Oryza sativa Japonica Group: one gene and its partners. The protein of the gene in region 5 binds, or shares a complex with, the protein of the main gene of each other region. Links are inferred from orthologs where the notes say so. Each region holds a gene or a part of one and is shown on either strand. Other genes may lie near its edges.

Region 1 (3,857 bases), on a different chromosome or scaffold from region 5:
TTGGGCATCGAAGCATCAAGGGCCCTAAAGAGAGAAGCGTGGGGGCAGTAGAACACATGCAGGCAACAACACCATGTAGCCAAGCAAGGCAAGCAAACAAAGATTCTTTCCAGCAACTTAGGAAACTAGGAATCCATCTTATGAGACTGTCAGACTGATGCTGAAAAAGGTCAAAAACATAGTCAGCTACGGCCATGTTCAGTTCCTACGATAGAGAGATTACAAATTTTGTTTCCACAAAAAACATCGTGGTTAACATTTCAAGAACTTGTGACGGTACACCATCAAGTCACAAAGATGGCTCAAGAAGGCTAAATTTCAGATAAATTTTACAACCACATCAACAGGAAGGGCATCAGAAAAAAAATCGAAAATGGCACTCTTCAGATTGTTCACATCGTGCCTGACAAAGTGGCAAACAACAAACAAACCCGAATTTGCTCCAGTTATTTCCTTGTCCAGGTTGATCCTTTGTGCTTTAATCAACATCAGGTCAGACGAAAGAGTTGTGAGAGGCCCTAACAAAACACATCATGGAAGTGTATATACAGGCAAATACCTCACAAATATAGAGTGCAGCACAGCAAGGCTTCTTGAAATTTGCTATGATTTTGAGTTTTTGACAAACACAGAAGGCATCAAGGTGCATATGATATTTCCACTATGGGAACACACATTAGATTTAGTGGTACTTCTGTAGGACAGCTAAAGCCTAAAGGAGAAAAAGGAGGGACATGTTAGAAGAAAATTTGTTCAGTACTGGGCTTTGTGTGTTTTTAACGGTGACCGGTTTATCCATTATCTAAAAAATACAAGATGAAATTTCATCGGGAAAGAAATAATCACATTTTGCAAACATTGTGTTTCATATTTTGAACAGCAAAATTCGCTGGGCATCAGCTTAGGAAATACAGAGACGGATGAACAGAACATAGAGGTGTACAGAAGAACAGCGACCGACATCACTGCTGGTTAGACGTTCTTGAGCTTCTTCATCTTGGATGGTGGCCATCTACCTTTCTTCCTCAGCCGCCTCTTCTGGACAAGCCTCCTGCGCCGCTGCCTCAGCTTCTTGGCCAGCTTCATCTTCGCCCTCTGCTCCATGATCATCTTCTGCTTAGTTTCGAGCGGCATTGTCTCAATCGAAACCGTGGGTTTTGGCTCCTCTGGTTGATCTGTGCCAGCTTCTTCTGCGCCAGCCTCTGCCGAGGCATGGACAGAAACTAGCCTCTTCTTGGTGAAAGAAGCATTCAGAGGGCTCTGCGAGGAGAGATTCTTGCACTGGAGCCTTGGGGCTGTAGCATCAGAAAGGACAAATGGCAAGCCTCAATGTGCATCATTTTAGATATAGAATTCAGAGTACATGCATGCTACTTTCAAAATTTTGATAGAATCTCCGTCATATAAGAAACTTGAAAGCTAATAAGTCTAGCTCATGTGTGCCACTTCATGGATAGTATATAGTACAATAACTAGTAACAATCCTAGTGTTCTCAATTACATATTATGATGAATCTTAGCAGAGCACAGATATGTAAAATCTACTCATCTATTAACAATCAGGCCCCAAATGTAGGGTGTACTACGAATGTCACCCTTTGCCAGTGACCGGTGCTTACATAGCATCTGATATTATCATTTAAGCACGAAAGAACCAAAGCTTCGAGAATCTGCAGAGTTCACTGAGATGAATTATACCTAGCTTTGTACAGAGATGATAAATGCACGGAATCTCCCACGAATTACTGCATCTGCACACGACGTGTTTGAAGAAATTCCCTAACGAGCCAACCGCATCCCAGAGAATCAGAAACGCCACGAATCACCAACGTCAAATATCTAGACCAATCCTCCCACCGAATTACAAATCACACCTCACAACAATGGATAGCCTCGTACCCACTCAGCATAATCCAATCCAAGAACCAACACCCCACAACCCGAGTAACTTATGCGCAAAAGTCCCGGTACGGAGAAGGCGTTCACGGAGGTTACCGGGGATGGTGGAGGCGACATTGGCGGAGGCGGGGAGAGCTCTGGCGCGAGGCGGGGAGGCGGAGGAGGAGGCGAGGAAGGAGACGGTCGGGGAGAGGAGCAGCGCCATGGCCACGGGCAGTGTGGGATTCGGCTTCTTGGCCCGTCGTCAGCCTATCCACCCATCAGCCCGGAGGGAGGAGATAAGCCTGTGCTGCTGTGAGCGCTCCGCCGTCCGATGGAGAATCAACGGCCAGATTTAATCTCCGTCAAGTAAGGCTGCTTGGCAGTTGGCCCACATGTCATAGGTGGAGAGAAATTTTGATTTTGATTTTCTTTTTCTCCTCTCGCCGCCTCCGCCGCCGCCGCGGGTGGCGGCGACAATCCGCATCGGCGGCGTCCCCTCCGCCCGGCCGCGCTCGCCGTCGCGTCCTACGCCGCCGCCGGCCGCCACATCCTGCGTTCGACGTGGATAGCAAGAGGTGGGGGAGCTCGCCGACGACAAGAACCTCCCGTTCGACGGCCAAGCGGGTGCCCATCGGTGATGAGAAGAGCAGCTAGCGACAACCTCTTCGTCTCCCACTCCAAGCCGAAGCACGCGCCGGCGCCGCCGTGTACCGCATCAAGAATGTCTCCTCCTCGTCGTCGCCGTCGCCGTCGCCGTCGCCGGCGTAGAGCAGTTTCAGCATCGAGGACGAGGAGGTGTCTGTACAGGAGCTGCTGCCAATGGTTGATCCGGGTCGTCAGCTCTCGTGCGCCATTGGGGATGGAAGCTTCTGCTCCTTCAGCTCGCGGACACCCATCAAGATTATGGAGCGTGCAGAGATCCTCCAGCCGAGCGTAGCTTCGACATGGACATCAATGCTGCCGGAGAGGAGGATGAGGATGATGCACGAGCCATCGTTGTATCAGTGTCAGAGAAGATTTACAGAATCTACGACAAGTCTCGCAGGCTGGCTCGCAGGGTTCAAATTTCCGGTTCGACCAAAGTTTTTTTTATTCTTTTGTGTGAATTTAGTAATATTTATTCAAATTTGACCAAATTTTGTTCGAAAATTCAAATAATTCTGGACCAAATTTCGGTATATCAGCACCCCAATACAAATACTGAAAACGAAAAATTGAACCATGGGCTCGCCAAGCGCCACTGATTGCTACATTGTTTATCTAAGAAAGCTTTGAGTGGGGTCGGAGACGCCTTGCGACAACATTGGCAAACTCCTCTTTGTGGGAACGACGACGACAGTTGGAGATGGTACAAAAGCGAAATTCTGGGACTTTGCTTGGTTGCAAGGGAGAAGGCTTAAGGAAGTTGGCCCCTCTGGTCTAAGCGACTTTCTGGAAGAAAAACAGAACTCTACAGTAGGCCACCAAATCTGGCCAATGGCTACTCGACATCAACCTATCGGCGATTGCAACTAGGATGACCAAACTAATCAGTCAGCTCGTCACTGTCTGGAATGCAGTCCAAGAAGTGCATCTCGTAGAGGGCGAGGAAGACACGACCACTTGGAAGCTAACCAACCATGGTGAGTATATGGTGGCATCAGCCTACAAAGCGCAACTCCTAGGCACAACAAAGTCAGAATTTGATACCCTCATTTGGAAGCCATGGGCCCCATGAAAGAGCAAGATTTTGCATGGTTGGTGATCTATAATAGAGTTTGGACATCGAATAGATTGGTAACACGTGTTGGTAAAACATCTACATATGCCCCCTATGTCGTTGGACACAGGAGACGACCCTCCACCACTTGACAGAACGTAGATATACAAAGAGAATTTGGAGAACCATGTTAGGGTGGACGTCCTGCGACAAGCTAATACTCGTCTTGTGGGAACCAACCACGACGATGCAGAAATGGTGGAAGGCAATCGCTAAC
Region 2 (3,618 bases), about 8.4 Mb from region 5:
CATCATGGAATAACTATGATTTCAAATTGTGTCTAAGCATGCCATTGCAAACAAATTTCAAATTAATGTAAAAGCTTAAAGACAAACAAGATCATGTTGCTGAGTTCCATTGAAGAATTCAGAGATTGAGGAAAGCACTTATCCAGATGATACTTTATTTCACAACCGCTTGGTGGCAGTGCACGTATTCCACTTTAGCTTGCAATAGATCCTAAGCAGCCAAATCACAATATGTTGCTAGAGACATATGTATCTTTTATGTATCTTTTATAACCAAACAACACGATCTTCAGGAATGGACCAAAGAAATGGTTTCCCATACCAAAGCAATTTCACATCCGTAAGACTGCAACTTGGTCCTAACAAGCTTTCCTCTATATTCTCAAGAGCCTCTCACATCCTTATCCATTGGGCGAATGATATTGGCATATTGACATGCCTGGTAGTCACTCCTGCAAAACTACAACTATCACTCAAGTACAATAACCTAGGACAATACCATGACTGTCAGAAGAAATCAGTATCAAACAAATAAGTGACCATGTGATCATCAATTTTGCCAATTCTATTCTTGATCCACTGCGCGTTCAGACAGAAATGATACAAATTAGGTATGTGGTGAGCTGGTGACCAACAGTAAGTTTCAGAAGCTAATTCAGAAGAATTTCCAACTCTAATTAGTGTTATTCTGTTACTAAAAGATGAATTAATCATTTAATTTTGTTCACTTCAAGGAGGTTTGCTCTTAACAAAAAGAGCACAGTTAAGTTCATGATTTTAAAACATCTCATCATACTGCTTTGAACAACTTTGTTGTAAACCTGGATACACTGATTGATGGTACAACTACACAAGCACTAGTAGTTATTGACCATTCTAATTGTGCATTGCCATTGCCCCTCAACCTACTAAACTTTGATCTCTGTAGTCTCTACAGGTAAAATTAAATTATCAAAACACTAGTTGTGGAACAAGCATTCCCTCTAAGTACGCAACGTAATCCTAATAACATCAGAACTCGGTAATCTTATGAAATCAGACCAGTAGGCATGCGTTGTAAGAGGTAAAACTTTTGTGATTCAATTCAAACGTGAGGCAGTAAAAGTACAGGAATTCTACAAGAAATGAGTGAGATGAGAGAAACGAAGCCACAAAACCATCTCTCAACAGCCATCAGGCGGCGCCGACCTCCTGCTCGAGCTTGCGCACGTACGCCGAGAGCACGGAGACGACGTCCCTGGCCGGCGCCTGCAGCGTGGTGACGACGGAGGTCGCGGGCCCCTGCAGCGAGCCGAGCAGCTTGGCGTACACCTCGGCGCGGCTGGGCATTGTCTCGAGCGCCTTGAAGTCCCCGGGGGCGTAGAACTTGCCCTCGAACACCGCGCCGACGAAGTCGTTGGTCTCCTCGAGGCGCTCCTCCTTCTGGAAGGCGCGGTAGGGCTTGAGCGCGGCGGGGACCTCCTCGGTGTGGACGAACAGCCACGCGTTCATCCCCTTCATGCACGGCTTGAGCGCCTCCCACGGCGTGCCCTCGATGGCCTTCCCCACCAGCGTGTTCTTCGCCACCAGCAGCCGGCAGGTCTCCGGGAGGGTGTCGCGGATGCCCTGCAGCTGCTTCACCGTGAGGCCCTCGTAGCGGATCCCGGCGAGGAGGTAGCAGCCCTCCAGCTGCTCGCGGACGGCGGCCACCGTGTCCTCCTTGCGGCCTCGGGTGATGGCCGCGCTGATGGTGGAGCGGCGGAGCGGGCGGGGGCGGGGGCGGGGTGCGAGGGTCTGGAACGCCGGGAGGGGCTTCGCGGTGGGGAGGGTGGTGCGGAGGAAGGAGGAGGTCTCCATCTTCGGAGGCCGGGAGCTATGGCGGGTTGGGAGAAAGAGTGGAGTGGGAGAGCTTATCTGTGGGGAAGATGAGGCGGGGGGCTCACTGGATTATGTGGGACCGTATCGTCAGTGCCTGAGAAGATGGTGAACTCAGCTCGGTCAGCTGCACAGAAAGAAGCTTCCGTGGAGATTGACCTTTGCTTGAGGATTTATAGCCGTTCGATCTTGATCCATGAGCGGTTGAAAATAAGATTAAGAGTTCCAAATAAAAAAAAATAGAGGCATAGAGCAAACGCGTATGTGTGGTATTCATAGACGTCAATTTAAACCATAGTGAGTGAAGTCGTGTACCAACAACTCCAATCTTCACTGCCTTGTTCAACACAGCATACATCACTATTGTTTTCTTGAGTTCAAAAACTCTTGATATGTACAATAAAACATAACATACATCAGTGTACTGAATTATTCAACACAATAGATATCACTATATAAGAAAATGACAGCGATTAGGCGCCCGATCAGCGGTAGAAAAATCGGGCGCTCGCCGCCTCCCGCACGCTCCCACCCCTTATGCGTTGTCCCCCCCCCCACGTGCCCCACCACACGCGTCGTTATAACAAATCACCCGCACATTAAGGAAATACTTTATTAAAGGAATCCGTTTCATTTTTTTTTCCACCAACAATGTTTTAGCAAGTGTACTCGTGATGTTTCACTATGTATGATCAAATGTTGCAATGATTTGAAACATCCTTTGCTATTTGCTGAAATATTGTTTTTATATAGGATGAAACAATGCCTGATTTTTTTTTGGAAACTGTTGTTTCATATGTTGTAACAAAATATTTCACGATGTGATTTGGTTGTGTTTCAGCTTTTTTAAAAATATTGAAACATTTTCGATCTATTTAGTGAAACAATGCCTGATTTTTGTAAAAAATCGAGCGCCCGATTTGTAGATGCATCACTATATATATATATATATATATATATATATATATATATATATATATATATATATATATATATATATATATATATATATATATATATATATATATAATTCAAACTTTTTTTTACAGGTAAGAAAACCATGCGAATCTCTTGTACGACGATCAAAATGGATATAAACATTGCAAGGATGTCAGGTGGAAAGGATATAAACTGCGACGATCAAGCAACAGCAGCTGCTCTGATGCTGTAAACACGGAGTTGTTCCGGACTCAGCATGCTCAACGCAATTTCACAGAAAACCAAACATCCGATGCTTACCATTCTCTCCATAACTCGTGTGCACTTCAAGCCATCCCTAACATGAAATGATGGTTTTGATAATGGAAGTGTATAGTTCATATAATAATGTCATTGGTAGTACTGAAATCCAAGAAATAAGATGCAGGGAAACAAGAACGTCTGGTACAGGGTGAAATTCACTTTTAGCTCTGCTGCAGCTCTGCTGCCCTGAAACCCTGACGATTCTACATATATAATGTCCGGCCTATCTCTCAGCCAGGAAAAAAAAAATACTATAGCGCATCAGCATATTTTCTGATGTCCCAACTTAAACAAGTGGAATGAATCAGAGATGGAACTCCGGCTAACAATTGCTCCAGAATTGCTAGACAAAACAATGGTGTGGCACAAAATGCATGCCAAATAACAATGAAGGGAGCATGGATACTCAGAACAAGTGTCACTCTGTCACTGTATACATTCCTTTTCCAAAATACAGTTAATGGCATCCTCAACAGTATCAACAACCTGCATGACATAGCAAGTGTAAATAAAACAGCATGC
Region 3 (4,456 bases), on a different chromosome or scaffold from region 5:
CCCGTGTTATAGGATGAGGTATGGACAGAGAGGAAACAAGGATTATGCTTCTTGATTCCATTTCTTTTTCCTTTTTTTTCTTTGTATTGTGTTTCTTGATGAAGACTTGACACCTTAGAAGTGAGGGGCCAAGAACATGTCCCACCTACCCTATGGCAGGCCACCTTTATTGGACAAAAATCCCACCTGAGGCTCATGCCCCTCTCTGCTTTGTTCCAGCGAAAGCAACACAGCAGATAGACTAGACTATGAAAGAGAAGAGGGGCCAAAAACCACAGTAACACTCCTTTATAATTATTTGATGAACAGATGACGATCAATACCTAATCCACAAGCTTCCTTAAAGAAAGAAAAAGTCTAAACTTTCTCTAATAATCTAAGGATATGGCATATGTTGGTTGTTCCCCTCGTTTGAGTGGAACTAATTACCACCATCTTTTCTTTTGTTCTTGAGTGATAACCGCAGAATATCACGGTACTATTTTTTTTTCTTTGATGAAGTGGTTATCTATCGTCTTCAAGTGCTGACAATCCGATTGATCTTCAACATATTGTGCTGTTTCTACAATACTAGCAGTGCCCAACTGCCCATGACAGCGATGAAATTGATTTTCATAATAGTGAACCTAAATGCATCCTATTTTTCCTGGTAAAAGATGTTCCTTTGAGATGTATGTCAAAGTTGTGAGCGAAAATTGGAGGAAGGATGCAGGCGTAGAACTTACCATCCCAATCACCAACTCACATACTTTACGTTGTAGAGAGTAGAGATAGTAGGTCCCTCAAGAAGGAATCAAGGAAATGCAGATGTCTCATTGCAGTCTTGCGGCAACCAAATCAATTAAGAGGCTGAAACCCCACTACAGCCCTACATGCCAAAAGAAACTACTTTTGCAAGAACCTCTTGTAAAGTAGTTTCAAATACGGCCTGAACCATATATCATACCCCCAGTGATGATGTTGATCCATTGCAAATTGCAATTCCACATGAATACCACTACTTTCAAGCATCAGATCAGCCCACCACAACACCCATAACACAATTACGTGGAACTTGTGGTACCGGAATACTGGAATAGACCCATCCTAGTCCCTAAAGCCTAGCTGCCAGGAAAGGTACATGCATACAACAAGTCGAACAGGACTAACCAATGAGTTGAACATGGGCCTTGTATTCATCTCACTGTTGATGATTCAGTTGGAATAGACCCGCCCTAGTTCCTAAAGCCTAGCTGCCAGAAAAGATACAGCAAGCCGAACATGGCTAAACAAGGAGTTGAAGATGGGCCTTGTATTCATCTCATAGTTGATGATTTACATTCCAAACATTGTTATCAAACATGGATTGCGAAAATGGAGAAAAACGGGGCAGAGAACTTATCAGCAGTCTGCATTGACCTCAGGACTTTCATCTGCAGCTGCCAACACCAATTGCACCTCAACAATTCCCTCTGCTCTTGCCTTTTTGCGTTCACGCTGCATGCGGAAGTACTCTCTCTTTCTTGCTCTGTAACTGTTTGGGTTCTCAGGTTGTTTCTCGTATGGGTAAACACTTACCTGTAAAAGAAAAGGCAACAGAAAACCACTTAGATACAATTATAAGTAGATGCTGACAAGTTATAGCTAGGATGCAGACTTTCACCTTTTTCTTGTCTGGTCCATATTTCTCGAACTTTACGAGGCCATCGATCAAAGAAAAGAGGGTGTGATCCTTGCCCATTCCAACATTATTTCCAGGATAGACCTAAAATGACCAATGAAAATGTATAAGAAAAAGCAAGAATATGTCCGTAAAATGTGAAATTACTGTATGAAACGCAACTGCTCATAACATGTAGAAACATAGACTATTGCAGAGGGTGTGTGTGGTGGTTCAGGGATAAACTTCAAAGAAGTTGCATATGCATTACTGAAACAGCGGGACAAATGCCAGAACTTGGAAAGTACATCGAAAGGATGCATGCATGCCTTGCAATACGATACAATACATAAGAGGAAGTAGTTTAGCAGCACATGCAACTGTTTTTACAGGATACACACATTTATGTAGCACATTCTTGTGCTATGTTAGTTCATGGATGTGAAGAAAGTAACTATCAGTTGAGTCTTTAGTGCAGAAACAGCACGTCCTAATATCAAAGTGTACTTCCTCCTTTTCTCTCTGCATTGCATTAGAGTGCCTGAAACATCTAGTTCCCCTGAAGTCTGAAGAGTGTGTAATTCTTGGCCACATCCCACGATATTGGTAAGAATGTACCACATGCGGCCACGTCTTAGCAAACGGGTGGCGTTGCATAGAATAACAGACTTTCTCTAGGACCAACTTTGGAACACGATCATTGTCATGCCTTTTTGTTAAAGAATATTCACACCATTCCTGAACTCTGAATTGTGCAGATGTTAGTTAACACAACAACCTCACCTAAATTCACAAATTGTTCAGAGCTGGACGAAGCTATACTATCAGTCAAAATTTGAGGAGAAAAGTCGAACACATGAAACATCCAAGAACCAGTAAGTAAAGGAAGAGGATGGTGATGACCCTGGTGCCGCGCTGGCGGATGATGATGGCGCCGGGCTTGGCGACCTGGTCGCCGTAAATCTTGACACCGAGGCGCTGCCCGGGGGAGTCCCTCCCGTTCTTGGTGCTCCCGGCCCCCTTCTTGTGCGCCATCTGGATCGTCAGCCGCCGCACCGGCATCGTCATCGGCACCCCCATCCCGACCCCGCCGCCGACGGAGAGCGAGACACGGTCAGCGCGGAGGAAGGAGGCGGAGGAGGAGGAATGGCACGGGGAGGAGAGGGACATCCCCTTGAATGCTCCCACCAGTGTGAACGCCATGGACGCCATTGCGCTCTCGAGCAGCGGCGGAGTCGCGAGGAGAAGAGAAAGAGAAGATAGAGTGTGGGAGCACAGCGGCGAGGTGATAACGTGGGAGTGGAGAGGAAGACGTGGGCTCTTTTTTTTTGGGTCGGGATCACCCATTTACGGCCCATCACGCGGTTGGGAATCCCTTTCCGGCCCACGTACTTTGGCCCAGCACACGTAAGCGGGAGGGAATGACGCGCCGGCCCAGCACGTGGGTGGGAATCACGTGCCGGCCTACCGCAAAGCCTTTGTGGGCCCGATGTTGTGGGCTTCGTGGAAACGCGAGGAAAAGGGCCGGCCCATACATCTCTTCTTTTTCTTTTTGCTGGACAAAATTAGATGGAATTACTTTTTTTTTTCAGTTACATTGCAGACGCACCCACGCACACACTATTACACAAGCAACACCACACTCATAGCCCTGCGAATGTGTCCCTTAACATGCGCTCTAAGAGAGAGAAACTAGCGGAACATTACTAATTAATCTCACTAAAATCTTGTTGAAAGTCCACTTGCATATGCGTAATATTCGTGGGCGCTAGGATTTGAACCCTGGAGGATAAAATCATATACCCACAACTCCACCACCACATCACTTTCGCTTCCCAAATTAGATGGAATTATAGTATTGAATTAAACATTACGGAGAAAAAAAAGAGAAATATATTAGCAGAAGGTAACATGGAGAAAAAAAATAGAGAAATATATTAGCAGAAGGTAACAGAAAAGACCAAAAATGAATCATGAATTTCAAAGAGAGAGAGAGAGAGAGAGAGAGAGAGAGAGAGAGAGAGAGAGAGAGAGAGAGAGAGAGAGAGAGAGCATAAGTTGTGATTCTTGTGGCGAAAACAACAAATCAACAATATTTCCTGGAGATTGAAGTCACTTTGCGAGAGGGAGGAGAGGAGTGGAGTTAGGGCCACCAGAATTCCAGAAAGCATATGAGATGGAAGCTAGAAGAAGAGGAGGAGGAGGTGTGGATGAAATCTGAATTGAGTGTGTGGATGAAGTGAATCGAAGAGCCCCAATTGTGAGCAAGAATGATGGCGGGCTTGACTGCAAAGGCAAAGTAGGCTGGCTGGGGATTGATTCCTTGTTGTTGTTGTATGGACACACCACCCCCACCGGCCATGCCCATGCATGATTCATCCTTGACAAAGTGTGCCTCGCTATGGAGTGTGGATCTGTGGATCCAATTATAGCTAGCCCTCCTTAACCCCACCATCCGTTTTCCACTGTTCATCTTCAATTCATGATTAGCCCCCCCCCCCAAATTTTGATTTAGATTATTACCACAGATTATCTACTTAATTATAGGAATAAATTGTATACTATCTTCATTTTTTAATATATGACGCCGTTGACTTTTTCTCACACATTTAACCATTCGTATTATTTAAAAAGAATTACTTAATTATAATTTATTTTGTTGTAAGTTGTTTTATCACTCAAAGTACTTTAAACATGATTTATATCTTATATATTTTCATAATTTTTTTAATAAGACGAATGGTAAACATGTATTTAAAAGTCAACGATTAAAAAACGGAGGGAGTATTTTCAAAAGCGAACTTATAGATAGTACTC
Region 4 (4,873 bases), on a different chromosome or scaffold from region 5:
GCTAATCGCGGTTGTGAAGGTGATTGCTATCTAATCGATTCGGCGTGTCTTTTGTAGCTTATCTTTTTATTATTATGGAAACATACTACACAGTTTCTTAATAATTTGGAATAGCTGTGATTGCAAATTATAAAAGTTTGTTCTTTATGTTGTAATTAATATCTTACATATATAGGCTAATCATGGTTGTGAAGGTGATTGCTATTTAACTTCTATAGCTGATTTATTATTATTATTATTATTATTATTATTATTATTATTATTATTATTATTATTATTATTATTATTATTATTTTGGTAGCATAATTTGGAAAAAGTTATGGTTGCGAATGATAAAAGGCCATAAATTATGGCATAATAAACATCTTCTATATAAGCTATGGTATTTAATCGATTCAGCATCGATTGTCATGGCCTTTAAAGTGATATTCTTTTATGTTGGAAATCGTACTGCACAGTTTCTTAATAATTTAGAAAACTTATCATTGCAAATAATAAAAAGGTTGTCCTTTGTACTCTTGTTTTTAAAGACAAACTTAGATAACAGTCTCACAGTTTATCAATGTTGTTTGATAGCCTTTGATGCGCTTGCATGGGCTGCAGCATATAGCAACAGGCCAAGCAATAGTGCGCTATACCTTGCATTGGCTACGGCTACACAGTCGAAGCAATGCCATAGAAATGTGACTACTGAACATGTCAATGTTCATTGTTGATAGAACTGGGAGTACGGAAGATAGTCTCTTTAAGATGGCTAGGTCAAAATATAAGCAAAGGAGGACTCAACAAGATTTGAAAAAAAAAACAACAATCAGGTCCTCCTCTGTCTTATGCCCACATTGGTGGTGACTGGTGACATACTTGATGGCAGTGGGTGCTACATGGACACGGCGAGCTACAGAAGATGTTGCCTTGACGCATTCCCAAATAGGGTTTCACAACAATAGAGGTTAAGGCCATGACAATTCATGAAAAGGTTCATCAATACCATAGATGAGTACATCCAGAGCTAAATGAGATTGTTCTTGGAGCAGAACCATCAAGGTCGACAACCTAATCGTTGATATTGGTGATAGAGACAAAGATTTCATGGCAAGTTGCATAAAAAAGCACCAAGAAGCTTACCTTATTAGGGCCTCCATAGCCTAAGGTTGAGGAATCCAAGCATATAGCAAACAAAACTCAACTGCTTCTTGAAGGTTTGCCACCAATAAAGAGGAAGAAAACTATCATCCTTGCGAAAAGCCTGCTGGAGAAAAGAAAGATAACTTGCCTAACTTCCCTTAACTAGGTCTAGCTTTCTCCTAACTCACGGTGATAGAGAATTACCCGGTGTTTTAGAGGGATACCACTAGAGAAGAAACTTCGATTGCCTTCTCCATGAAACCTAGGACTAGAAGGCCAACATCGCCGACCTTCACGCTCAAACTAAAAGAAAAACCCAACTAAATTGATTGACCTACAAAGAGAGAGTTTGTCGGACTTCTCTCCCTCACCTCGCCGGCGGCAAGGTCACCCGAGCCTGTGAGGAAGAGGGGTCGAGGAGGCGTAGTAGTTCAGTTTGGCTCTTTCGTCCGAGAGTTCACGAGAGTTCTCATCACTCGTGTTAATTCGCATATTCTTTATGGTCTAATCAACACATTCGATCCAACTCTTTTATAATCTTTAACTGATTAAATCAAACGATTCTAAACTTTAGAAAGGAGAAACAAAATGAGTACGTGCAGTATCGCTAAAAAACTAGTAGGGCATAGTTTCATGTTTTTCATGGGTATCTAATCTGAGCCGTTGATCTCCAATCGAACGGCTCAGGGTAACCTCCCTATCCACAATATTATCCCTCTTCTTTCTTTCCGATACGATAGCCCACACTCTCATCCACACTGCTCTTCCCCCCCGCGCGCCGGCCATGGCCACCGCGACGCTGCCCCTCCGCCTCCTCGCCTCCAAAACCCTAGCCTTCCCCTCCGCCCCGTCCCTCCCGGCCTCGCGATGCTCCCTCCCCGTCGCCGCGTCCGCGCCCCGCCGCTGCTGGCGGCTCCTCGCTTCCGCCGAGGAGCCGGCGCCCGCACCCGTGGAGGCCGAGGCCGAGGCGGAGGTGGTAGAGGAGGAGGAGGTTGAAGAAGAGGAGGCTGCGGTGCCGGAGCCTGTGGAGGCGCAGATCGCAGCCGCGGGCGCCGGGAAGGACGCCGACATCTTCGCCGTTGTCATGGTGGGGCTAGCTTGCCCTTGCCGCCAATATTTCAGATTTAGTCCTGCTCGGCTCACTGCAAACAAACAAAAAAAGAATCACATTTGTTCATGCTACATTACCTCGAATTCTTTAAATAATATCATTACACAGGCATTTGGCGCTAGTTGCGTTGCTTCTTGCGGTGAAGTGAGCATTTGATTTCAGGCTTGTGTTGCTTACTCTATGCTGCATAAGAAGCTTAGGATTCACGCGCCAATAGGAATGCGCGCACGCCGATTATTAGTATGTACAGGACACACCATTAAGAAAACGGCGCAGAGAATTACAGTGTTTTCGAATGATACAATACTAGTCTTACAGAGAATTGTTCGGATGCATTTCTGAAATATGCAGGAGTGCATCTGAGGAGGGTTTCTCTGTGTTTTGTTTTGTATGAGCGCTGTGAATAATAACGAGGGAGCTATTTTGATTATTTTTCTTCTGTCGCAGATTGGGTCGAGACAGTACATTGTGATGCCTGGAAGGTATATATACACGCAGAGGCTGAAAGGCGCCAATGTCAATGATCAGGTCTGGTGCTTCCACTTTAGAGGATGCAGGAGGATACTTGTTACACCCTAACTAGAAATTTGGCCTATTTTTGCTAGTTAGTTGGTTTGTATTAATCCATAAATTTAAAAGGTATATGATGCTGAGGTGGCTTCTAGATAAGGTGATTGTAAATTAGGAAAAGGCAAATATATAGTATTGGTTATTTGGTTATTATTCTTTTTCATCCATGAGATGCAATAACAAACTTCAAAACAACGAGGAAGGTTGTACATTCTGAAATTATGGAAAGTGGTAGTGACCTACTTCATTTTAGAAGTAAAAGAGTCACTTCCCTGTAATTATAACACTTCAATCCCAGTTCCTGATTTCACATAAATATCTTATTCAGAACTTTTCGATAAGTTTTGTGTAGCCTGCATATATTAGCTTCGTTCCTTTTCTAACTAAAATTACTCCTCTGATGCAAAGCTTCCAATCCCATAGGACCCATACGTTGGCTTATGTTGCTGGCATTTTTAGTATTGTTTTCCCAGAAATTCTCACTTCTGGATAATGCTGATGTGCAGATAATATTAAACAAGGTATTACTGGTATCAACTAGAGACAAGGCTTACATTGGCATGCCAGTGGTGACCAATGCTGCTGTTCATGCAGTGGTTGAGGAACAGGTATGTCCTCTGTATGTTGTCGGGTTAATCATGGATATTCAAAATTACTTGACCCTGATGTCTCCCCAATATTTTTATATCAGGGACGGGATGATAAAGTGATAGTCTTCAAATATAAGAAGAAGAAGAAGTACCAGAGGAAACTTGGTCACAGACAGGTAAGTTTTTCCAATTACCTTCTTCAAGAAAGGTAGAATTTTATTGATAAATACTGATTCAGTTTTTACAGCGAAGCAATTAGAGTTCTTTTAGATTAAAAATCTCTGTTGTTTTGCAGCCAAACACAAGGTTAAGAATTACCGGCATAAGTGGATACGAGGACTTCCCTGCTGACCCGATACTTGAGTATGTTCCAGCTTAAGAGCAATTGTAAGTTCTGTAGTTACAAACAACTGGTAGTACATTAGAATACGAGTGCTACCTTTTCTTGTCTGGAAGAACAGTTTTTGAACAAAATTTGCTTTGTTCATGTGTTCGAGTGCTGCCAGTCATCCAGTTGTTCCATCCTTTGTTTATTCCACCATCTGTTTTGTTCATTCTGATATTGTGTATCCTAGCCAACTGTATTATTTTCACTGTGCTTAAAAAAAGAGAGAGCATTTTACCACGATACGGATGTTTTAGCTTTGGTTTGTGTAACTTTATACAGTTTTTGTGACTACTGATGCTAATTTCACTGTTTTTGGCATCTGTACCAATGGTGCTTAGTTTATTGAACGGGCTATGTCCTAATATTTTGGGATCAGTTACAGTACTATGTTCAATGCAGTTCTGGTCATGATTTATTCGAGTGTTCTAAGAGAAGTTCTGCAAGGCCATATATAAGGTGTTTGTGTGCAACCTTGTACTGCTTAGGGCACATAAGCAGCTGGTTAGGACTTAGGCCATATAAGCATCTACAAGGCAGGTGGCTGCATGGATTCTGCTTACCACTTTTTAGAACCTTGGTTCATGAAGAACTGCAGAAGTTTTGCCCTTTTGAATCCTTACCAAAGATAACCAGTGGCATAAGGCGTATAATCTTTTGGCAAACTATGACTGTTTCAGTAGTCCTTCACCCCTAATTGCATATTACAGTTCTGAATTATAGTGGTTTTCAGACATCTTTTGCCTAATTGAAACCCTTGTTGAAGTAAAAATTTGACCACTGTAAAGGTTCATAAACTAAATATAATCACACTAATTTGTTATATGCTAGCCAATTTTCTTGATATATAAGACTTGTTAATTGTCAACATGGTTGTATGATGCTATAGTAGATTGTTGAACAACGGAAAAAAGGTCGTCTCTTCGCGGTGCTTCCAGGTGTAAGGAAGTATCAAATTCAGGTGCAAGGCATGGGTGTTAAGGCAAGGTAAGGTGACCCCAGCACGCCTTATGCCTTAAGGCGTCGCTTCGCCTTACGCAGATAGAAAAATAGGAAATGAAGGGCTTTTTCATTATATTTATGGAGTCCAAT
Region 5 (4,363 bases):
GCTTACTCCTGCTCCAACGGTGTCCATTTGTCGAGTAGTTTGCATACTTGCAGTACTCCTTTATTGCAAGCATGAATTTGTGATTGGGAAGCTAATGTAGAATTTGAACTGTGTTGATATAAAAGGACTGGAAATTTTGAAATGTTCTAAGATGTATTACAAATATTTGTGATCGTCGGAAAAATTGTCTGAAATGTTCTAAAATGTCTCTGTTTTATGTGGTTGACAGGAGCTGGAGGAGGTGGGTGGGATTGAGGAGCTGGAGAAGGAGATCAAGAGGAGGATTAAGAGGAAAGAGACCTTAGATGCGATCCAATGAGAGCTACTTATCACACATTTTTTTCTTTTTATTTGCTGTCATCTCTTATTAGTTTTTGCTTCAGTGGCAATTGTAGCCTTGTAATATGCTTTTCTGTCCTGTTAATAGAAGAATAATTTAGATAGATATTTGGAAGCTCATTTGGACGGTGGAGCACACAGGTATTAGAAATGATGTGCTGGGGCTGAATGGCTGATGCTTTTGCTAGTACTGCTGGTAATGATATATATTAATCAGTACCATTCTGAATTTATTAGTCTGGTTGAGTCGTGCTGCTGACAGTGAGGTGTTCACTGATAAAATGTGTACTTTCTTTTATATTCTTTATTTGCCGACATTCTGTATCTCTTGTTCACGAGATGTGCCGGATGTAAATATGAAAGTGATGCATGGCTGATTACTTTTTGACCGTGAAGAAGAATTAATGAAGCTTATGCACACTAGGCGGTTCCTCCATACTGCTGAATGGCTGTTCATTAAGGCCCTGACAAGTGACAAGGTCACAGACTGACAGTTACTTCTTGAGGTCAAGGAGGTTAATGTAGTTTATCAGGATTAGGTTGCAAACTGACAAGGAAGATATTGTCCGTTGTGTTTCTACTCTTGGTGTCAAGTCGATCCTCACAGGATCACGGTCGTGGCATTGCTGGTCCTTGGTAGAACAAGGTAGGGCAAGCGCAATGTTGTGATCTGGGACCTTTCAAATCAGATCCTAGTGATTGTCCCCTGGTTATAAAGAACTGCATGTTACGGTTACTGCATGATTAGTTAGGCATAAGCATGTGACGAGGATCCTCGTCGTGATATTCCGTCCATTTTTCAATGTTGATCAAGCGTGGCAGATCTCCTGCTGATCTGCCAGCAACTGTTGCTAGGTTCAGAGTTTGCTTGATCTTGTTTAAGCTCTTCATCGGCGTTTTTTATGTTTGAAGTCATCGTTTAATGGCATACTACTACTATACTAGTGATGTCCTGTAGTGCATTAGAAAATACAGAATGGGCCACATACTCAAACACTGTTACCGGTTGACCAAAACAAGGCATATATCGAAATTCACACACTGCAGACTTGCAGTTGTTGACTCATGTAACTTTACCCTTCTCTTAGGCCGTGTTTAGTTCACCCCCAACTCAACGGTTTTGATGGGCCTAAGGCCCAAATCAACGGTTTTGATGGGCCTAAGGCCTGAAACCATGTCGAACAGTTCGATGGGCCGAACCATGACGAGAAAGCCCACCTGCGACACTGGACAGCAACGGCAGCCAGCCACAGCCAACTCGCCTTATCCCGTAATCCATCCATGGCATAAAGCTCCCTCCTCAGCTCCCACCTCCGTCTCCGCGCACGCTCCAATGGCGGCCACGGCTGTGACCCTGCCGTCCTCGCCGGCCCCCTTCCCCGTCACCACCACCGCCTCCTCCTCCCGTAACGTCCGCCTCCTCCTCCGCTCCCCGCCTCCTCGCCGAGCCCTCCGCGTCGCCGCCTCCGCCGCGGCCGACGCGCCACCCAAGCCGGCGCCGCCGCCGACCTCGCCTTCGGGCATCGTCCTCGTCGACCCCACCGAGGCACAGAAGGTGCACCGCCTCAAGGCTGTATACGACCAGAAGGTGGTCCCCCTCATCACCGAGGAGTTCGGCTACACCAATGTCCACCAGGTGTTCGACCTCTGTCTCCCTTCTCGCAATTATAGGATAGACATGGCCATTTCTTTGCGGAACTCGGGAAATTCGATTGTTGTTCAATAATTGAGCTTAGAGGAGTGTGTTTTGGATTCTCGATTTTATTCAGGTGCCCAAGGTTGAGAAGATTGTAGTGAATTGCGGGTTGGGGGCTGAAGCCGGTAACTCCAAGGGGCTCGAATCCGCCATGAAGGACCTCGCCATGATCACCGGCCAGTGGCCCGTCAAGACGAAGGCCAAGAAGTCCGTCGCCAGTTTCAAGATCCGCGAGGGGAACACCATTGGTATTGCCGTTACGCTCCGCGGCAGGGTGAGTCCTCTGTACCTCTGGCTACTTGCGATGCAGACATTGACAAATTGGGGACTGCAATGTTGTATCAATTTGGGATTTGCATGACAGTATAATAGCCTAAAGTATGTGTGAGAATTGCAATTACTCCATCCAGTTCCAAATTATTGTCACCGTTGGCCGTCAGTATTTTACATTGACCACAAATTTTAAATGGTTGGACGAACGAAAGTTTAATACCTATCTATGTGGAGTAACAACCTTTAATAATATGGCATATTTTTAGGTATATGCATTTTATTTTCTAAAAAATATAAGTGATCAAAGTTCAAATATGAATAGTATCCAGTGACAAGTATTTGGGAACCTAGGGAATATGTTTGATCGATGAGCTTATTTTGGCTTGCTGCAGGTAATGTTCAACTTCCTGGATAGGCTCATCAACCTTGGGCTTCCTAGGACCATGGACTTCCTTGGTGTCAACCCCAACAGCTTTGATGGCCATGGCAACTTCACCATAGGCCTTCGTGATCAGGGCGTGTTCCCGGAGATCCCGTACGAGGTCGGTGGGAAGAAGAATGGAATGGACGTCTGCATCGTCACCACCGCGAAGACCGACAACGAGGCTCTCAGGCTGCTCACCCTCCTTGGCATGCCGTTCGCGGAGCACATCAAGTCCTCCGTGGTGATCCGGAAGAAGAGGTTGAAGCGCCACCACTTCATGAGCAAGGGCAGGGGAAGACGGTGATTGCAAACCGCTGCCTAGGCACGTTGAGCTTTGCTTCTCACTTTGTCAATTGTCATTGTTTTTGCAAAGTTTCGTTTAGAAGTTTGATGATTTTGTTATCTTGTCACGTGCTGTATTTACTGTCAGAAGACAAAATGAAAAGGCTTTGCTTTGGTCAGGTCATTCGCAGATGAGCACTCATAAATGAATTGGGTGTAAAGAGATTATCCGGCAGCATTTTCAAACTGCTTAACTTTACTCACTAAACCACATCATATATATCTCTTTGGTCCCAAGCATCTCATAGCCCAGGCCATTACCCACACCATACTATCATCCTATATCAGTATTTCAGTAGCTACACGTTGGCAATTCAGGCGGACCGATGACGAGCTCTTCTTCAGGGAAGGCGCATGGCTTGCCCGCCGCCCCGAGCTCCGGGCACGGCACCGGCGAGACGTCGGAGGCGACACCCTTGACATCGGTGCAGTTCCATTGCAGCTTCTTGGCGTCCGGCGCGAGCTGCGCGGTGACGTTGGACATGCAGATGCCAGTGTAGGGGTCGTTGGGAATCCCCTCCATCCTGCCGGCCATGGTGACGTTCTCCGCGAACACGTCGCTGTAGTTGATGCCGGTGACCTCCGGCAGAGCGTTGGGGTCGGAGGAGTTGTCCGGGTGCTGGCCGTAGTTGCCGGTCATCCAGAACACCCACTTCATGGTGTGGAGGCTGAGGCCGCGGACGAACACGTCCTTGACGTAGCCGCCGCGCCCCACGCCGGACTTGATCCTGACGGCCGACTCGGTGTCGATGGCGACGTTGTCCACGGCGCGCACGTCGCGGATGCCGCCGGACATCTCGCTGCCGAGCGCGATCATGGCGCTCGTCGGGGAGATGCAGGTGAGCCTCCTGATGAGGATGTGCTGGCTCGGCATGTTGAACTTGATGCCGTACTGGTCCCAGCCGCTCTTCACGGCGATGCAGTCGTCGCCGGACACGATGTAGCTGTCCTCGATCTTGACATGGGAGGAAGAATCTGCACCATGGACAACAAGAGCTCATCACATCTAGCACAAACCAATGCTTTCCTCATGGCAGCATTGATCAAGTGCAGTGTGACTTGTATGTTTATACCTGGGTCGATTCCATCGGTGTTGGGCGAGTTGAGAGGTGCTAGAATGGTGATGCCGCTGATGGTCACATTGCTGGCGCAGCACGGAACACAAAGAAGGTGAGCATCATGATCTATATCTAACCGTTCAGAAACTGAATTCTGGTTGCGAGTACTGATGATTCTTACGTGCAGTAGGTGGGATGGAGATTCCATGACGGCGAGTCGACGAAGGTGAC
Region 6 (3,964 bases), on a different chromosome or scaffold from region 5:
CAGAGGTTGCGCGTGTGTGGAGCTGCCGGGTTGCTCCACGTCTACAACTCAACACCTTTTTCTCGTCTCTACATTTTTAGAGAGAAAAAAAACAACCTTCTAATTTTGTAGGGGTTCATTATTCATTTAGGCTCTTATTAAATATCAATAGCTAAAAAGGGGAATAAAACAATCCATCAATTTCAGCTATCTCAAACCAGACAGGCCATAGCAGTAGAACAATCAATATTGGCGTAGGAGTTCCTTTTGTACAAAACAAACAGCTTTTCAATTTTGTACAAGTTAATTCTTTCATTTAGGCTCTTATTAAATATCAATAGCCAAAAAGGAAATAAAATAATTAATCAATTTCAGCTTAGACTGGAAGACACTCTAAAGTGAAAAGCGCAAGATGCCAACTGCACGACCTGATGCTGCTCAAGTTACATCCATCCATCTTATAATTCGTAACCAACATACAGTATTAATTAGGAACTCGACCGAAATGAAACACTAGTAGCAAACAATTCGAGCCGGACTTGCAGCAGCAACACGGGATAAAAGGAAATTTAAGGAAACGAAGCCGGCCACCACCACCGATGAATGCATACTGTAGTACTCTACAATAAATTGCATCATCGAGATGAATGGATTTAATAATGGACTACATACAGCTCTGGTCTATTCAGCACAGCGGCAATTGATGAGAGAATACATGTATGTATGCATCATGATGATGATGATTTGATTTATTTCTTGTTGAGGTCGATGCCGGCCTTTTTGGCGACGGCGTCGAGGCCATGCTTCTCGATGGTCTTGAGGGCTTTGGTGGAGAGACGCAGCTTGACGAAGCGCTTGCCTTCCTCCCACCACAGCTTCTTGTACTGCAGGTTCACAAACTGCTGCTTCTTCGTCTTGTGGTTTGAGAAGGACACCTTGTTCGCCCTGTTGGTCTTCTTGTCCGTGAAGGGGCATATCCGGCCTGAGTCACCCACCCCCACATCATACAACAACATCACCATACACGCCATCTTGTTCCTACTACTACTAGTTTCTATAATTTGTGGCATCATGCAAACAAAAGATAAAGTATAATCTCACCCTTTTAAATTACTTGTCCTTAACTTTATCATAAGCCAAACATTTAATATCATAATATTTATGTGTTTATATATGCATCATGAAAAGTACCTTCATAATATATAGTACAATTAACATGTTGTTAAACTTTACAAATTTCTAGAAATTGATAAGTCACAATTATCTTTTTAAATAAGAAATTGATAGTTAAAGTTATGAATGGTTGACTTAGAATAAAACTAAAACTATAACTTGAAATGGCCAGAATAGTTATATTTTTTCTTTTCCCCCTTCTTTCTTATATACACTAGTAAGAAGAAGAAGCTCTGCTTATGTCTTAGAGAAACAAAGAGATGGTTGTCAGACATAAACAAGCAACCATTTCAAATATATTCTAAACAACCCTGTTAAATTTCACTTGGCGCAAGGATATTATTGGCCTTAAGTTAGTGGCGTGGAATCATCTCTTTCCACGCATTGCTAATATAGTGTTGTCACACGAGAAAGATGACTTTAAATTGAATCTAACACCTGATGGAAGATTCTTGGTTAAAACTCATTATCTTGCACATACAAGAGTTCCCAATTTTAACAAACATATCTAGAAGTTAAAAATCCCTCTCAAAGTGAAAATGTTTCTATCGTATTTATGTCGAGGGGTGGTGTTAACAAAAGATAACCTGGCTAAACGGAATTGAAAAGGGAATAAGACCTATTGTTTTTACCACAAGGAAGAAACGATAAAGCATTTATTTTTTGAATGTCGGCTAGCCCGATCAGTTTGGTCTTTAATCCAGATTGCATCGAACATTTCTTCACCTAGGAGTGTGTCACATATGTCTGGACAATGGAGTTTGCGACAAAACAAAGAGTCTAGGCCTCCTTTTCTACTAGGAGTTGACTTGTTGGGCTATTTGGCTATAAAGGAATGATGTGATTTTTGACAGGAAAATTGTTTCTTCTTCTTTGCAGGTTATTTTCTTGATCACACATTGGCTCCGATCATGGATTATTCTCAAGAAGCCAGATTACAGGGGTTTTGTCTGTTCGGCTTGTCTTCATTTGGAGCATGTGGTCAAGGTTTTTTTTTTTTACCCAGGCACATGAGCGGCAACCTAGTCTTCCGATATTAGGTCCTTAATCGTTGAGTTAGTTCTGTTTTTCTTGTTGTGTGGTATCTATTGGTTGTGCACTGACATGGTGCAAAGAACGACCAAATTCAATAAAGCTTCCATTCTCTTAAAAATACAAAGAAAGATCTGAGTTTATGGTAATAGATTGACAGCTAGTCTATTTTCGAGAGATTAAAGCAATCAATTACTAACAAATAGGTCATCTGGTTCTAGTAGTAGTATATATACAGTGGAGTATTGGATAGCGCAAAAAAAAAACGAAGGATAAAGTAACAACTTTAATAGTAGCAGAAATGACATTGGTGGTGTAATATAAAACTGTAATGTCAATCTGCGGGTGGATGGCTCGAAACAGAGAGAAGAAGGAGGAGGCAGATGACGTACGCGCGAGGATGGGGTGGAGCTTGGGACCGGCGGCGGAGGGCGCGGTGGTGGCTGCGGCGGAGAGGCCGAGGCTGAGGCCGGCGAGTTGCGAGGTGGCGAAGCCGAGAGAGGAAGAGGAGGAGGAAGTGCGAAGGAGCGGAGCCCTGGTGGCGGGCGTGAAGGAGCAGAGCATGGTCGCCATCGCCACTGGAGCCTGGAGGAAGAAGAAGAAGAAGAAGAGGATCAAGTCTTGTGCGGCTGCGGCGTGGCGTACAACTTGTTTCTCCTATCCTATCATAATCGTCTCTCTATGTACTGTGTGAGCAGGGGCCCATATATCGTAGTACTGTAGAAAAGGGCGGCCCAAGCCCAACTCTCATTACTACTAGTATTACTCACAGTGATAAGTCCACTTATTATCCCTTATTTTACGTCGAGTTTAATGGTATCTCTAAACCGCAATACCAGCAATCTTCACCCCCTCCCCCCCATTTTGGAAAAACCTTCCAAGTCAGTCTCATGGTATTATGGATGACTGGTTTCACTAACGTGGCATACCAATCAGAAAATTAAAATTTAAAGTGGACTTCCTCCCAACCTGTCCCCTCTCTTCCCCATCTCTCCACCTCCCCCCTCTCTTTCCCATCTCCTCCAGTGGGGAGAGGGGCGGCGGCCAGCGAGCCCATCCACGGGAGGTGGTAATGGTGGTGGGAGGTCAGTGATGAGGTGGCTCCAGTGGTCCACGACGGGGGAGAAGAGGAGGTAGGTGAGGGAGCCGGCGAGTTCGAGCTCATGAGCTATCTGCAGGAAAGCCCAGTCGTGTCAGGAGTGTGAGGAGCCGCGGGGATGGGAAGGGGGTGCTGCGGTGGTGGCGGCAAAACTTGAGCTCAAGCGGTAGTGATGAAGATGAGTACGCATGCGGAGGGTGACGTTGTTGATGGAGGTGTTGGGGAAGAAGCAAGTGAACTAGAGGGACAATGTCGTGTCGCACACCACCAACTCCCACACATTCTCGCGAGCATCCAAGATGGGGACAGTAGCAAAAGTCTGGCTCCCACTTCCAGATCCCCTTCGCATCAACCTCCATTCCAGATAGCACACTTCTACCCACTGGTCCACCTCCTCCTCTTCCTCATACTCCTCCACATCGCTCTTGGGCTCCTCCTCGTTGATGGCTTTTGAAGTGGAGACAGTGGAGCTCTCGGAGGAGACAGACCGGCATGCTCGCGACGACATCGCAACACCGGGTCGAGGTCGAGCCGGCCCCTACTTCTCTTTTCCGTCTTCAAGAACAGCCTCCTTGACTTCCGCCCACCCATCCCTCGCCGAAGGAGCTATCAAAGAGGTCACCCGAGAAGATGTGGAGTTGATTCTCTCCTCCTTGATGGCCAGGAAGACAGGAAGAGGAC
Region 7 (4,976 bases), on a different chromosome or scaffold from region 5:
AGTGACGCGCTCTCGAATGAATCTCGCTGAATTTTATAGGCGACGACCCGGCCACTCCGGGATCTACTCATCTCACTGCCATGCCGCCTCTGTTCAATTGAACTTCAATCTATGTTCTCGCAATTACTTTCTTCCTTGAAAAAACTACCTGTTTAGATTCCACCTTAAAATTTTTTATTCTGTAACATCAAACGTTTGAACACCTACATGAAGTATTAAATATAGGCTAAAATAACTAATTTTACATATTGCGACTAATTTACGAGATGGATCTTTTAAGCCTAATTGCTCCATAATTTAGCAATATTGTGCTACAGTAAACATTTGTTATTGATGGATTAATTAGACTTAATAAATTTATCTCACGATTTACTGACGGATTCTGTAATTAGTTTTTTTTATTAGTAACCGAACACCCTATGCGACACTCTATATAATATCCGATGTGATACGTCGAAACTTTACACCTCTGGATCTAAACAACCCCGTAGATGAAAATTTGATACCACCTAATATAAATCTGGATAACCTCCTAATCATTATTTTTAGGTGGTATCAGATCTTCATCTAAATTGGCTTTTTTTTTACAGAATGAGTACATGGTACAATAGGTGTTACTTGAGCACACGATTGGTACTGTCAACTTTTTCGTTATATGGAAGATAAACACGGACGTGCAATTAATTAACAGATCTACATCAACTATTAAGAGAATTTAGAAACACCTGATGCCCATTGAAAAAAGAGAACACTTTTGCCCCCAAACAATGACACATCAAGCTCATCTCAGGTCAAAATTGCACTACTCAATTGGATATGGAAATATCGGATTGCTTAAAATCGTACGGTATTAGGTACATGATATGTAATCAACAAGAACTATGACTTAGAAACACAAACTTTTGGAGGAAGTAAATTACAAAAAATTTTACACTCCATTCCCCAAACAGACAGATGCATCACATTCCAAAGATTGGACAAAATCTCGAGGGGAGGAATTTACGTGAGATTGTTGTGTCTTTCTTAGTCTCCACAGGAATTATCTACTTCTCAGACTTCTGTATTCTTTTATCCTTGATAGGCAGTGGAACAGGTTTTTGAGCCTCATGGGGATGTTCTGCTCCCTTGTACACCTTGAGGTGGGTAAACAGTCTTCTTCCCAGCTGCAAAATGTTCAAAATGTTGAGAAGGCTACATAGAGCACGTACAACCGCTGTAGTTGGTCGGATTACATGTGTCAGTGTCACTAACATATGAGAACTTGAGAGGTTGACATAGTAAACGTTTTTTTTTTTTATAAATGAACTTAGGCATAAGTAAAAGGCTTTAGGCAATCATAAGATGTCTTACAGGCAACATAGGAGTTTTGGGAGAATACATCTAGTACTTCGTTAGCCCACGCCGTTTCGGCATTCAATTAGAGCGAATATTTCCATGAACAGGGTATATAAAGTTGGGGAATTATACACAATAATGAAGTATAATGGAACAGAACGAGGATACCCATTTTCAGATATGTATTAGAAATTGACCAAAAATAAGGATAAGAGCATATGTATACCCAGGTAGGCTGACTTAAGGTCAAAAAGACTTGATGAAACTGACTAGATAAGAGCTCTAAGAGATGATGTCTTACTCTGCCCTTAGGAAGCATGCCACGCACTGCATGTTCAATAATTCTCTCCGGAATCCTTTTCTGAAGCTGATCAAAAGTTTCTTCTTTCATTCCACCAGGCCGTCCAGAGTGCCTCCTGTAGAGCTTCTGTGACCGCTTTTTGCCAGAAACAGCAACCTTCTCTGCATTAACCTATGTGAACATAGAGTTCAGCATGGTAGTTCAGGAACTTACAATAGTATATGCGTAGCAATTACTCTTCAGAGATGCATTAGTATTAAAAGCACACAGTAACATAAATATATATACATGAAATCAGCTTCAAAATGCCTTCAGGTGGACCTCAGCTTCCAGATACCTTTTGGTGCTTATTTGTATGTGCTGCTAAACCTCTTTTCCTTTTGTGGGACTACAGAGGATCTTATTGTGTGCACTATTTAACTTTATAAATTAATTTCAAGAAACATACATACCACAACAACAAAAGCCCCCATGTCCACACTTGGAGTGTATGTGGCCTCATTCTTTCCTCTGATGTGTACTGCAATGGTGGATGCAAGCCTACCTAGAATCTTGTCTGTTGCATCAACAACATACCATGTCTTCTCAGTAGTTACATGATCTGCAGCCTTAGGGTACCATGTTGTGTTCCATATGTCCTGCAAATTAAATTCCTTGGTCCGATCACTACACAGAACAGGTTGCACAGAAAAGAGAGAAAGAACACAAGAATGGTATCCGTACTGAATTCTAACTTCACAAACCTAAACATCCACAGATAAAAAGATATGGTAGTCATGTAGGTGCGAACACTGTTGAGTAATACAACACAATGTTAGCGACCAATTCAGAAAGACCAACGTTCCCTCCATGTTATTTTCAGTTCATTTTATGGAATCCTCTTTCGTAATAAATTACAACTAGATAACTTTAAATAAAATAAGATGGTGGTCTATACGGTATAGTAACATGTAAAAACATTGTGTATTTTCCCTAACATTATTCATGTAAAGAAAGGATTTGACCCAATAGAGCAAGATGAAGTGACTTACGGATTTAGAAATGAATGGGACTAATCTTGAGCTTTCCTAAATAAGCGGCAATCCTAAATCACGGTAAAATTTCCCTTTATCCAAGGAATGTAGCATTACTATTCATTTTCTGAACTGAGAAAGAGAAGAATGTATACGGGAGAGAGAAAGAGAGGTGAGGGTTAGTACGGGGCCGCAGAGCTCGTCGCCTTCGAACATGAATCGCTGCTCGCGGGGGACGAGCGCGGAGAGCGGCTGCCTCTTCTGCTTCTCGCTCTGCTCGCACCGCACCGACAGGCCCCCCGCGGCGGCGCGGCGGGTCGCGGGCCTCGCCGCGCGCCGCTGGCGGGGGAGCGGCCTGTCCCTGGCGAAGGCGGAGGAGAGGAACGCGGAGGCTGCGATGGCCGTAGCCATTGCGACGGCGGCGCGGTGAGGAGGACGCGGCTGCGGCGAAGTCTTGTCCGTCTGGCTTGGCCTGGTTCAGTGGAACGCCACTGCCATTTCGTTTCGGGGAGGCGAGGTGGAGAGAGCAGAGCGGATAAGAAGGGGATAGGGGGGGAGAGGGAGCCAGAAGGGGAAGAGGAAGAGATGGGCCTTTTGCTTAGCTGGGCTTTGCAGCCCACAGATGCATCAAAGCTAGAGAAACGCGTAGAAATTCCGATATGTTAAATGGGATAATTGCTTATTTAACCCTATTTTAAAGGCCAACTACTAAATTGATCTTATTTTTTTAGGTTTGTTTATTTGACCCTGTTATTTGAAATTGAAGTTTCCATTTGACCTGTTTTGCTTTCACCGGTAGAACATCACTTAGAAAAAAGAAAAAAAAAATACTACCCTAAAGTGACCAAAATACCCCCGTGTTACAAATTAACCCTAGGATTCCCATTCCATTCCCCAGCTCTTCGTCCCAATCCCCACCTCGCCGGTGACGGGGAGAGCTGCCGCCGACCGGGCTGGAGGGAGAGGCGGCGGCGGCGTTGGCGGCGCATCGAGGGAGCGGTGGCGGCGGCCGCGCGAGGAGGGAGAGGGAGCGGCGGCGGCGGCGGCGGCGTTGGCCGCGCGTAGAGGGAGCGGTAGCGGCGGCCGCGCGAGGAGGGAGAGGGAGCGGCGGCGGTGGCGGCGTTGGCCGCGCGTAGAGGGAGAGGGAGTGGCGGCCGCGCGAGGAAGGAGAGGGAGCGGCGGCGGCGTTGGCCGCGCGAGGAGGGAGAGGGAGTGGCGGCCGCGCGAGGAAGGAGAGGGAGCGGCGAGCGGCGGCGGCGGCCGCGCGAGGAGGGAAGGAGTAGCGGCGTCGGCGCGCAGGAGGAGGGAGCGGCGGCGGCGGCGGCTGCCGTGCTCGAAGCGGAGAGATTGAGCGGCGGCGGGGCTGCTGCCGCACGGAGGGTGGAGGAGGGGCAGCAGCGCCGGCTGTTGCCGCGCGGAGGGGCGGCGCCGCCGGCTGCCGTCGTGCGTCGTGTGGAACGAGAGACGGAGGATAACTTGTGGTTGGATTTGTTGATGGATTTGGATACGAATTTATTGTTGGATTTGGATCTGATTTGCTGTTGGACAATATGCTTTGCTGTTGGACAATATGCTGTCAAATTTGTGTAAAATTCTGTTAAATTGAAGACAAATCTGTCTCAGATCTGTAAAAGCCATGAAAATCATTGCAAATATTTAAAAAGTCCCGATGAAGAAAAAACTTTGATATAATATGGTAAATGAGCAGGGGCAAAACGGACAATTTCCCTCTTAGTTAACACCGTTATCTACCCTTCACAAAATAGGGTCATCTCTGATCTTCAATTTTAAAAAGCATGGTCAAATGAGCAAACCTAGAAAAGTAAGGTCAAATTGATAGTTAGACATCAAAATAGGGTCAAATGAGTAATTGCCCCATGTTAAATTGTCCACACACACAAGCAAGTCAGCACTACAGGTGATATAGGATCATATACCCAAAATTAGGCTATGTTTCTGGCGACAAATAAAGATAACTGAAAAGGTAAGATCATTGGAGAATTGGTGTCCATGTTTTCCTACGGTGCAAAGGACAGAAGATGATATCATTTTCATTGATAAGATTGCAGCACCGGGTGCATCACAAATTCATATGTTACACATTCGTATATAGCAAATATAAAGGGTCAATATTGTTCCTTTGCACCAAATGAAAGAGAACTTTACAGGTACCATCAAGGTAGGATAGTTTGCCTCTTAACGTGTATCTATCTGGTGAATGGTGCAAGTCCTTGTACATAGAGACCGTGACGATTTTTGAGGAATAATGAATGAATAATTTACAACAAAACTGTGGACCGAAGGGTGTGGCAGATCAGAACAATATA

What was found.
Region 1: large ribosomal subunit protein uL5c (region 5) and large ribosomal subunit protein cL37 share a complex: the UniProt entries of both Arabidopsis thaliana proteins name them as parts of the 50S ribosomal subunit. The link is inferred for Oryza sativa Japonica Group from reciprocal best matches to the Arabidopsis thaliana genes AT4G01310 and PSRP5.
Region 2: large ribosomal subunit protein uL5c (region 5) and large ribosomal subunit protein uL10c share a complex: the UniProt entries of both Arabidopsis thaliana proteins name them as parts of the 50S ribosomal subunit. The link is inferred for Oryza sativa Japonica Group from reciprocal best matches to the Arabidopsis thaliana genes AT4G01310 and EMB3136.
Region 3: large ribosomal subunit protein uL5c (region 5) and large ribosomal subunit protein bL27c share a complex: the UniProt entries of both Arabidopsis thaliana proteins name them as parts of the 50S ribosomal subunit. The link is inferred for Oryza sativa Japonica Group from reciprocal best matches to the Arabidopsis thaliana genes AT4G01310 and RPL27.
Region 4: large ribosomal subunit protein uL5c (region 5) and large ribosomal subunit protein bL21c share a complex: the UniProt entries of both Arabidopsis thaliana proteins name them as parts of the 50S ribosomal subunit. The link is inferred for Oryza sativa Japonica Group from reciprocal best matches to the Arabidopsis thaliana genes AT4G01310 and RPL21C.
Region 6: large ribosomal subunit protein uL5c (region 5) and large ribosomal subunit protein bL28c share a complex: the UniProt entries of both Arabidopsis thaliana proteins name them as parts of the 50S ribosomal subunit. The link is inferred for Oryza sativa Japonica Group from reciprocal best matches to the Arabidopsis thaliana genes AT4G01310 and PRPL28.
Region 7: large ribosomal subunit protein uL5c (region 5) and large ribosomal subunit protein uL13c share a complex: the UniProt entries of both Arabidopsis thaliana proteins name them as parts of the 50S ribosomal subunit. The link is inferred for Oryza sativa Japonica Group from reciprocal best matches to the Arabidopsis thaliana genes AT4G01310 and emb1473.

The regions. Positions count from the first base shown.
Region 1 is NC_089035.1:9,870,762-9,874,618, reverse strand, and holds large ribosomal subunit protein cL37, read right to left. Parts: upstream 2,151-3,857; 5' UTR 2,105-2,150; coding exon 1,996-2,104; intron 1,296-1,995; coding exon 973-1,295; 3' UTR 823-972; downstream 1-822.
Region 2 is NC_089037.1:9,831,329-9,834,946, forward strand, and holds large ribosomal subunit protein uL10c, read right to left. Parts: upstream 1,898-3,618; 5' UTR 1,837-1,897; coding exon 1,174-1,836; 3' UTR 1,051-1,173; downstream 1-1,050. Other genes in the region: mitochondrial hydrolase YKR070W, read right to left, coding at 3,523-3,582. UniProt on the Arabidopsis thaliana protein: This protein binds directly to 23S ribosomal RNA.
Region 3 is NC_089035.1:41,095,283-41,099,738, reverse strand, and holds large ribosomal subunit protein bL27c, read right to left. Parts: upstream 2,935-4,456; 5' UTR 2,852-2,934; coding exon 2,543-2,851; intron 1,745-2,542; coding exon 1,643-1,744; intron 1,558-1,642; coding exon 1,381-1,557; 3' UTR 1,089-1,380; downstream 1-1,088.
Region 4 is NC_089036.1:9,030,505-9,035,377, reverse strand, and holds large ribosomal subunit protein bL21c, read left to right. Parts: upstream 1-1,863; 5' UTR 1,864-1,909; coding exon 1,910-2,212; intron 2,213-2,683; coding exon 2,684-2,764; intron 2,765-3,312; coding exon 3,313-3,414; intron 3,415-3,497; coding exon 3,498-3,572; intron 3,573-3,691; coding exon 3,692-3,775; 3' UTR 3,776-4,021; downstream 4,022-4,873. UniProt on the Arabidopsis thaliana protein: This protein binds to 23S ribosomal RNA in the presence of protein L20.
Region 5 is NC_089037.1:1,440,425-1,444,787, reverse strand, and holds large ribosomal subunit protein uL5c, read left to right. Parts: upstream 1-1,604; 5' UTR 1,605-1,672; coding exon 1,673-1,975; intron 1,976-2,108; coding exon 2,109-2,309; intron 2,310-2,700; coding exon 2,701-3,036; 3' UTR 3,037-3,289; downstream 3,290-4,363. Other genes in the region: beta-carotene hydroxylase 2, chloroplastic, read left to right, coding at 230-319; probable polygalacturonase, read right to left, coding at 3,367-4,049, 4,148-4,218, 4,314-4,363. UniProt on the Arabidopsis thaliana protein: Binds 5S rRNA, forms part of the central protuberance of the 50S subunit.
Region 6 is NC_089039.1:104,682-108,645, forward strand, and holds large ribosomal subunit protein bL28c, read right to left. Parts: upstream 2,801-3,964; 5' UTR 2,758-2,800; coding exon 2,577-2,757; intron 962-2,576; coding exon 729-961; 3' UTR 412-728; downstream 1-411.
Region 7 is NC_089035.1:31,965,324-31,970,299, reverse strand, and holds large ribosomal subunit protein uL13c, read right to left. Parts: upstream 3,156-4,976; 5' UTR 3,061-3,155; coding exon 2,836-3,060; intron 2,275-2,835; coding exon 2,089-2,274; intron 1,808-2,088; coding exon 1,637-1,807; intron 1,164-1,636; coding exon 1,044-1,163; 3' UTR 811-1,043; downstream 1-810.